Linked DNA regions of Cricetulus griseus. The protein of the gene in region 1 purifies or fractionates together with the protein of each later gene. This does not show direct contact. Links are inferred from orthologs where the notes say so. Each region holds a gene or a part of one and is shown in the gene's direction. Other genes may lie near its edges.

What was found. The genes of interacting proteins can lie anywhere in the genome.
Region 2: the proteins of Prkar2b (region 1) and Cdk5rap2 purify together in Homo sapiens (affinity purification with mass spectrometry; 3 studies listed by BioGRID and IntAct, counting the BioPlex papers as one, with this or other methods). This does not show direct contact. The link is inferred for Cricetulus griseus from reciprocal best matches to the Homo sapiens genes PRKAR2B and CDK5RAP2.

What each region holds. Positions count from the first base shown.
Region 1 is NC_048598.1:169,644,295-169,648,564, reverse strand, and holds the start of Prkar2b (cAMP-dependent protein kinase type II-beta regulatory subunit), read left to right. Parts: upstream 1-1,461; 5' UTR 1,462-1,691; coding exon 1,692-1,992; intron 1,993-4,270. UniProt on the Homo sapiens protein: Regulatory subunit of the cAMP-dependent protein kinases involved in cAMP signaling in cells. Type II regulatory chains mediate membrane association by binding to anchoring proteins, including the MAP2 kinase.
Region 2 is NC_048595.1:75,832,598-75,836,903, forward strand, and holds the start of Cdk5rap2 (CDK5 regulatory subunit-associated protein 2), read left to right. Parts: upstream 1-1,464; 5' UTR 1,465-1,641; coding exon 1,642-1,697; intron 1,698-4,306. UniProt on the Homo sapiens protein: Potential regulator of CDK5 activity via its interaction with CDK5R1. Negative regulator of centriole disengagement (licensing) which maintains centriole engagement and cohesion. Involved in regulation of mitotic spindle orientation.

The sequences.
Region 1 (4,270 bases):
GTATATCAATTTCTCAGAATATTAGGGTTCAACCTACCTCAAGACCCAGCAATACCACTCTTGGGCATATACCCAAAGGATGCACACTCACCAAACAAGGACATTGCTCAACTATGTTCATAGCAACATTATTGGTAATAGCCAAAACCTGGAAACAACCTACATGCCCCTCAACTGAAGAATGGATAAAGAAAATGTGGTACATTTACACAATGGAGTACTATTCAGTGTTAAGAAACAATGGCATCCTAAAAACCATCCTGAGTGAGGTAACCCAAAACCAGAAAGACAAATATACCAGACATAAAGCAAAAGATACCCAGCCTATAATCCACAACCCCAGAGGAGCTTGCATCCTCTTCCAGAAACAGATGGAAGCAGATGCAGAAATCCACAACTAACCAATGGGCCAAGCTCCTGGAGTACAATCAAAGTGAGAGAGGAGTGATAATATGAACAAAGGAGTCAAGACCATGATGGGGAAACCAGGTGACCCGAGCCAGTGAGAGATCACTTATTCAGGTCTGACAAATGGGGTATCTACGTAAGACTGAACTAGACTCCCTTAATATAGTTGACAATGGTGTGACTGGGACAATATATGAGGCCACTGGCAATGGGTCCAAGACCTAACACTAATGCATAAACAGACTGACTTAGTGGAGCCCATTCTATATGGAGAGCCACCTTGCCCAGCGTAGAAACGGGGTGGGGTTGAAGAGGTGCTTTGGTCCTGACTCAACTAGATGATGGGACAGACTTAGTAGACTTCCTAGGGGAGGCCCTACCCTTTCCGAGGAGCAGACGGGATGGGGAGGGAGTGGGAGGAGAGGAGGGAGGGGTGCTTGATAATAATAATTTATTTTTTTGGTGTTTTGGAGACAGGGTTTCTCTGTGGCTTTGAAGGTTGTCCTGGAACTAGCTCTTGTAGACCAGGCTGGTCTCGAACAAATTAATAAAAATTGAATAAATAAATGTTGCCTTTGTCTCAGCAACTAGCAAGAAATGCACCAAGCATGCCGTGGCAGAACATCTGCACAGCAAGCTGACCATCACAGCCAGGTGACTGAAAAGCGGGAAAAAACCTAGTGAAAGAAAATGTTGTAACAAATAAGTAGCCATATTTCCTGTATCCAAAAGAGAACCAGTACAGCTGTGTGACTTTAACAAAAGACACCATGCACATTTCTCTTACTGTTGGCTTCTAGGAGAAGAAAAGCCACCACCAAGGTGGAGGCTGAAGTTTCAGAACAAATTGCACGACGCCAACTCCGGGAGGGCTTGGGCAGAATGATGCGCAGGATCTGCTCTGAGAGCTGTCGGCCTCACGCCCTAGGTTCCCGCTGCCTCCACCCAGAGGCCACTTAGCAAGTGGCGCTGAACCCGCCTGCCGGGTTGCCATGGTTTCCGGGGATCACGTGGGCGCGCGGGCGGGGGCGGGGCGCCGGGCGTGGGGCGGTGCAGTGGTGGCGGGAGAGGGAGCGGGAGGAGCTGGAGATGCTGCCAACCCTCCCGGGCTGTGCTCGCTCTGCCGCCGCCGCCGCCGCACGGAGCAGCCGCGCCAGGGGCCCAGGGCGCCGCGTTCGCAGCCGGTAGCGCCGGGGGCGCTCGCTCGGGGCCGCGCAGCCTGAGACCGGACAGCGGACAGGGTGCGAGGGCGGCGCCCAGGCGCCGGGGCGTGCACAGGCAGGATGAGCATCGAGATCCCCGCGGGGCTCACGGAGCTGCTGCAGGGCTTCACGGTGGAGGTGCTGAGGCACCAGCCGGCCGACCTGCTGGAGTTCGCGCTGCAGCACTTCACGCGGCTGCAGCAGGAGAACGAGCGCAAGGGCGCCGCTTGCTTCGGCCATGAGGGCAGGACCTGGGGGAACGCGGGCGCCGCCGTCGGGGGCGGCGCCCCCAGTAAGGGTGTCAACTTCGCTGAGGAGCCCATGCGCTCCGACTCCGAAAACGGCGAGGAGGAGGAGGCCGCGGAAGCAGGGGCGTTCAATGGTGAGGACCGGCCCCCTCGCGCCCTGACCACCGCGCCCGCCCGCCCGTCTCGCTCGCCAACCCCGCCTTGCTCTCGAACCCTGCGCTGAGCTCCCCACCTTCCCCGAACTCTCTATCTTCCCATCCCGCCCACACCCACCCACCCCGGCACCCATTTCGGTCTCCCACTCGCCCACCTTCCTACTCCGCTCTCTTGCCAAGCCCTCCCTTTCTCTGGAGGTGGAGAAATGAAAGGTTGCGCTCCGCAGCCCCTCTGTCACCTTTCTTCCTTGGCCGATTTGGGGTGGGCATCTTGCTGGAAGGTTAACTTTCCCGTGGCTGGAGATGTCTCAGTCTTGGAGAGTGCCATTGTGCATGAAGGGCGCTTGGTGTCCTCTTTTCAGCCCTTAAATTTATTAATGGAGTGTTCGCAGAGAAAAAGGCAAGCGTGTAGGACTCAGTAAGAGGAGTGTGACATCGACTCACTAAGGTAAAGCAAATGAATGGTAATAGCTGTGACATCCTTGGAATACGAATAATTTATTATTTTCCAATATCATGTGGTGGAGATATTTTTGGACGCATAACAAAGGATCACATTTAGCCAGATATGTAAGGGGTCTCTGAAGTGAGGAAATAGGCCAATGATTTTCTTTTCTTAAAAAATTTCAAAACATATATTGAATGGTTTGATTTTTTTTAAGTGTGTGGGAAAAAAATAACACCATAGGAAGCTCTAAGAGCATGTCGGCTGTCTTTAGAATGAAAAGCCAGTGAGTAACTGTAAGGACCTTGCCAGACACTGAGGCTAGAAAGAATGAATGAGAGAGAAAAGGAATTTTCTTAAATAGCTGCCAAAAGGCAAGTGCCGTCCCTCGTGCTTCCCAACCTCTCCCTGACACACCAGATACACACATACACACACACACACACACACACACACACACACACACACACACACACACACACACGTTCACAGTCCCTTGTATTTACACAGTGTTTTTCAGGAACCCAGGCTAAAATGCCATGGTGTGCAAATGTACTAGTGTTTTCTATGTGGTGTAAGGCAAGCACGCATGCAACTTTTATTTATTTATAGTGCTGGTGATTTGTGTGTCCACAATGCATTTCATACAATGAAAACACTTCATTTCCTGTGTCCCTTCCTAGAAAGATTTTTTATTTCTTTGTAGAATTAATTACATATTGGCTGGGTTACAAGAGTAATGCACTTTTAGCTGGTCTAAAACGTGAAACTGTGGACATTAGTGCTCTTTAAATGTGAAAGGGAAGATTACTATTTAAAAATCTTAATATGGGACATTTGGTGCTTTTGAGGATAGGGTAGTCATAAATTCAATTGTTCCCACACCAAATCAAATGCTTGTCCTGCAGTGTCATCTATGACGTGTGTGCACACGCCCTTGTGCACACACTGTGTGTGAAGGGAGATACACATGGAGGCAAGCAGTACACAAAGGAGATAGGGACTGGATGGCAGGCAACAGGAGATGGGGGACTTGGTAAAGAACCTTTATGCTCTTCAGACTATGATGTTAATACAGCTAACCCCTTTTTGTTTAATTCTCTTGAAGTACTTTGCATTGACTTGATTTCTCCTTGCAAGGGTGTGTATCCTGCACATTGGAACAAAGAAGTGCATTTGTAAGCAGTAGGGGTATTTACTTTTATGAAGCTTTATATTCTTCAAGTCATCTTTCCTATAAAATTACTCAAGGTCAGTTGTAATGAATACTTAACTAGTTTATTCCCACCTCTACCTCCAGGGATTTCAGAAGTTTTGGCTCTACCCTAGCACAATTTGATCATTATCCAGCAGATGTATGTTTGGTGTTAGTATAATCTCTGTTGGGGCAGTTCATTTTTATTCTTCTAAGTCACACTCTTGTTCCCATAGAAGTAAACTGTGTAAGAAGCGGTTAAAAACAATTGTAGGCTATAGAATGCTTGGCAGACTTTTTTGTGAATGGCCCTTTCAGACTGTGGGCATCTTATCATCTGGATCATTTTTTTTCCAAATAGATCTTTAACCAAGTGTACTCTCTGGAGCTTGAATTCATACAAGGCCATAGTTTACTCCTGGACAAAGGGGGAAATATATATATAGTCATGTGCATGTATGCACATACACGCACGCACGCCCTCTCTCTCTCTCTCTCTCTCTCTCTCTCTCTCTCTCTCTCTCTCTCTCTCACACACATACACACACACACACACACACACACACACACACACACACACACACACTTCAAGATATACTCATTTGTGGAAAAGACAC
Region 2 (4,306 bases), on another chromosome or scaffold:
TTATATGAGCATGGATGGGGGTTATTCATTGGAGTATGTGCAACTTACCATGGAAGATAATGACACCTCCTCTTCCAGCAATCACAGATCTCATGTCTCAACTGTAAGTTCTAAGATGGAAAAAGAACTGAACACTTGGGGAATATGGCCTGTCTGAACCTTTTAGGACATTGGAGTTCAGAGGCATCTGGGCTCAAATCACAGCTCTGACTCTTGCCAGTTTGCAAAGAAAGAGTATTTGAGGTTATGGAGGAATGGGAATGAATATGAACATGTGAACATATTACTACTGACAGAATTACTACTGACAGAATTCCTAAAGATATCTCAGGTCATCCTTACAAAAACCTTGTAGGTTAGGTACTAGCCCCATTATCTCAGCACTTGAGCTTGTCAGTCATGGACACCCACTCCTTCCCCCAGAACCACAGAATATAGCAGGTCTGGAGCTAGTGTTGTGCAGTACAAACAGCCTTGTAACTATTGAGGGCCCAGCCAAAACAAAAACAAACAAACTGGCAGTAGGAGATACTTAACTGCTAGGGACCACTGTTCCACATCCATACATCCTCCCTATCCCTCTCTCTTTCCCTCTCCTCTTCCCTCTCTCCCTTACTTTTTCTTCCTCCCCACTCACTCCCTCTCCCCCACTCCACTTTAAGTTCCTCTCTCTCACTCCTGTGTAGATTTATTAAAGAAAAGTGAAGAAAAAACTCTGAGAGTGGGAGGGGTTCCAAGGAGGAATAGCTGAAATTCCAGTTTTGTAAAGATCATAATTTGAGAGGCAACACAGTGGCTTTTCTCATAATATCTTCGTTCTCTCCAGGAAGGTTAAAACATGGCTCCAGAGGACCCAGATCTCCATGCCAGAAGCTAAGGATCTGGTTTTGGTGGATAGTAAACTTGAATATTTCTTCTCCCCGGGTCTCAGTTTACTGATTGTTGGTGCATGAGTTCTAACGGTAACAAATTTCATTGAAAGCTTTGACATGAAGTATGCCTGACCCCTTTATAGGTATGAGGCATCAAACTCAGTCTGTAAATTACTGCTTATACTAGCGCTCCACAGGTGGTATTTTTCTAAATAGAGGTAGAACTCAATTATCTGAGTTTCAACATAAGGCAGAAGTCTTTTGAGTAAAAGAACCAAGGCGCGAGTGTGTAGTCATGATTATAGAACAGCAAACAGAATTAGACACTATGAGTTGTCCCACCTCCCGCTTAAATTAACTGACCAGGGCGGATTTTCACCCTCAACAAATATGGCCCCTGCCTTGGCTTCATCACGAGTACCCGCACACATAAAAAATGGCGGCCAGCGTCTCTTTTCTTAGTATTACAGGTTCAAGAGCGAAGATTCTGCCCTGAGTTAAGATGGCGTCCACTCATGCTTTCCCTGCCCGGTTTCAGGCCGGTTCAGGGCGGCTTCACCCCGTGTGCCAGATGACCCCGCCCTGTTTCCGTAGGAAGAAGCAAGGAAAAGATGGCGGCGGCTGCGGTTTGAATTCCAGTGGCGCCGCTAGACTGAGAACAAGAGCTGGGTTGGAAGGGGCGGGACCTGGGGAACCGAGCAGGTCGCCACAGCTCGGGGAACCAGTGGCGCCTCCGCAGACACCGGTGCCACCATCTCGGTGTTCAGTAATGGACTCGGGAATGGAAGAGGACATCACCCTGCCTGTGACCCTCAGCGGCTGCAGGTGTGGCCCTGATTTTGGGGTTCATGGTAACTGGGTTGGGGTTCCTATTGATGGTGGTTCTCTCCCGTGAGGCCTTCCGTTTGTTTGAGGATGGTCCCTGCTGCTGCCTGCGTGTGTTAGGACCTGGGGGTGTCCAGCCAGCTCCACATTCGTCTGTGGTATTCTGGAACATACTTTGAGAGAATGTGTAGGATAGGTAAGGGACTTTGTGAAAGACGGGGAGGAGGTGGGACTAATTGGGATTTCTATTAATAGGGGCTGGGTTGGGACCGGGACCCTAGGGCACTTGGTGAATAATTTTTGTTTGGGGGTTTGCATTCATTATGGGGCGTGTAGTTGTTATTTTAAACTTTGGGGGCGGGCACAGTAGCCTCCCAGGACAGAGGCATCAGTGCAGGAGTTAAGATCCTTGGCTGAAGATGGACAGAACTGGGTTTAGGTCCACCCAAAAAAGTGACAATGTGGGTGACCTTGGTAAATTGACTTCTGCTCTGTGAAATGGGCTAATGGTAATACGCACGTATGCACTCACCATAATTGGATGAGAATGAAAAGAAACAATGGCTGCCCAGCAGTTCTCTTGGCAAGTGCAGCAGCTGACACAACAGTGTTGAGAAGGGGGATCAGTGTTACCATCATGACCACTGCTACAAGTTGTGTCTTCTATCCAAAGCCCTTGGGACCAGAAATTAGATTATTTTGGACATTTGGAATAGGTTGTTGGCAAGGGAACTAAACTAGCACAGTGTCTAACTTAATGGATCTGCTAATACTCTCCTTTCCTTCCTCTCCCAGCCTTGATAGGACAGATACTGCATTCATTTCTGGTAATTCGAATCTTAACCTACTCTAGGCCCTCCAGGCAACTTGCTGTCTGCAGGATGAAGTTCTGTAATGTGGCTTCCATGTTTCTCCATAGACTGCTGCATCTGCTTCTCTTGCTTCACCCCCACTGTCTCTCTCTGGTTCCCAACCCTGTCTTTGCCCTATGCCTGATTGCCAAGCTCAAGCTCAGTGTCAGGAATGATCTTGCTGTGTTTCTTGCTGCTGGGCCTGTGCACTTGCTGTTCTTGCTGCCTCAGTTGTCCTTTGTACACCTTTTGCCTTATCTTCCAGTTATCTTTTGCCTAACATCTTCCACTGTTAGGAAACCCTCACTGATATTCCCACCCTTGACTGGACTGTTCCAGGTACCCTCGCTTGTCATTGTCCGAACCTTGTTGACAGCCCAATAGCACTGTCCAATAGAAATACGACCTGTGGTGTGTATTTAATTAAAAACTTCCTTGTAAGCCAGGAATGGTGGTGCTCACCTTTGATGTCAGCACTGGGGAGGTAGAGGTAGGTGGACCTCAGAGTTCCAGGCCAGCCTGATCTACAGAACCAGTTCTAGGTTAGCCCGGGCAATACAGAGAAACCCTATCTCTAAAAACTAAAACAAGAACAAAAACTTTCTGGTAGTCACAATTAAAAAAAGTAAATAAAAAGAAGCAAGTAAAATTCCTTTCTCTATGGTGCTGGAGGTTGAACAGGGGGCCTCACATGTGCTCAGCAAGTGCTTTACCACCGGGCAGCAGTACCATTGGGAGCAAGTGACTTAATAACATACTTTATTTAGTTTGAGATTTCCATATATAATTCTAGAAAAATCTATAAGAAAACTTGTTGATGAGGTATTTTATGCTTTTCAGTCTTAATCTTTGACATCTGGTATGAGTTTTTACACTTAAATTCCTTCTCAGTTGGACAAACTGCGTTTCAAGTTCTAGTTAATGGCCTGTGTATTGGATGATACAGGTGTTGGCTATTAACATATGGCCACCAGATGAGATGGAAACTCGTTTTAGAACAGGAACTTTAAGTCACTGTGAGAAATGATTCCCTGAGGGGCCACTTTTGTCTCCTTGTTATCCGTGGGACCCCTGAAGCTCAGAGAGCTAAAACAAATGGTCTGGGGTCACATAAAGAGTTCATGATAAGTCAGCATTTAAATCCAAGTTTCCTGATTCCAGAACCTGTTTTGCCTTCTGGATGGTCTGAACTAATCAAAGTGAGTATTCAGGAGCTCTTACTGAGCTTCTGGCACTGAACTGGCCCTTCAAGAGTATGTATCAGAAATATTCCGGGGGGTGGGGGTGGGAGGGGTGGGTGGGTGGAGATGGGTCTCCATTAGGTAACCACAATGGGAGAAAATAGTTCCTATGATAAAGTATCATTTTCATTTTAGTATGTTGCTTTCTGAGCAACCTTCTCTTGGTAATTTGCAAGCCCCATGTTTACAGCCTAAACTGAACCCAGTTTGTCCTTGAACTTTTGTTTCTTTAGGTAAGGATACACTATTTGCTCCAAACCTAATCCTTGTGCATGTTTCAAGCAGCTTTATCCCCATGGAATTTGGACCCAGGGATCCTGCCCCAGTTAAGACTTCTGCATCTTTTTATGTAGAAAGACCTGTGCTTGGCAGTCAATATGATAGCACAGATGACTGTAAAAACCCTCATTCAGCCCCTTGCTGGTTATGCTGCTTTGAATAAGTCACTTCCCTTCCAACCCTCAGTTTCTCTTTGTTGGTATACTCGGTTTACTGATATCTGTGCCGATGAAGTACA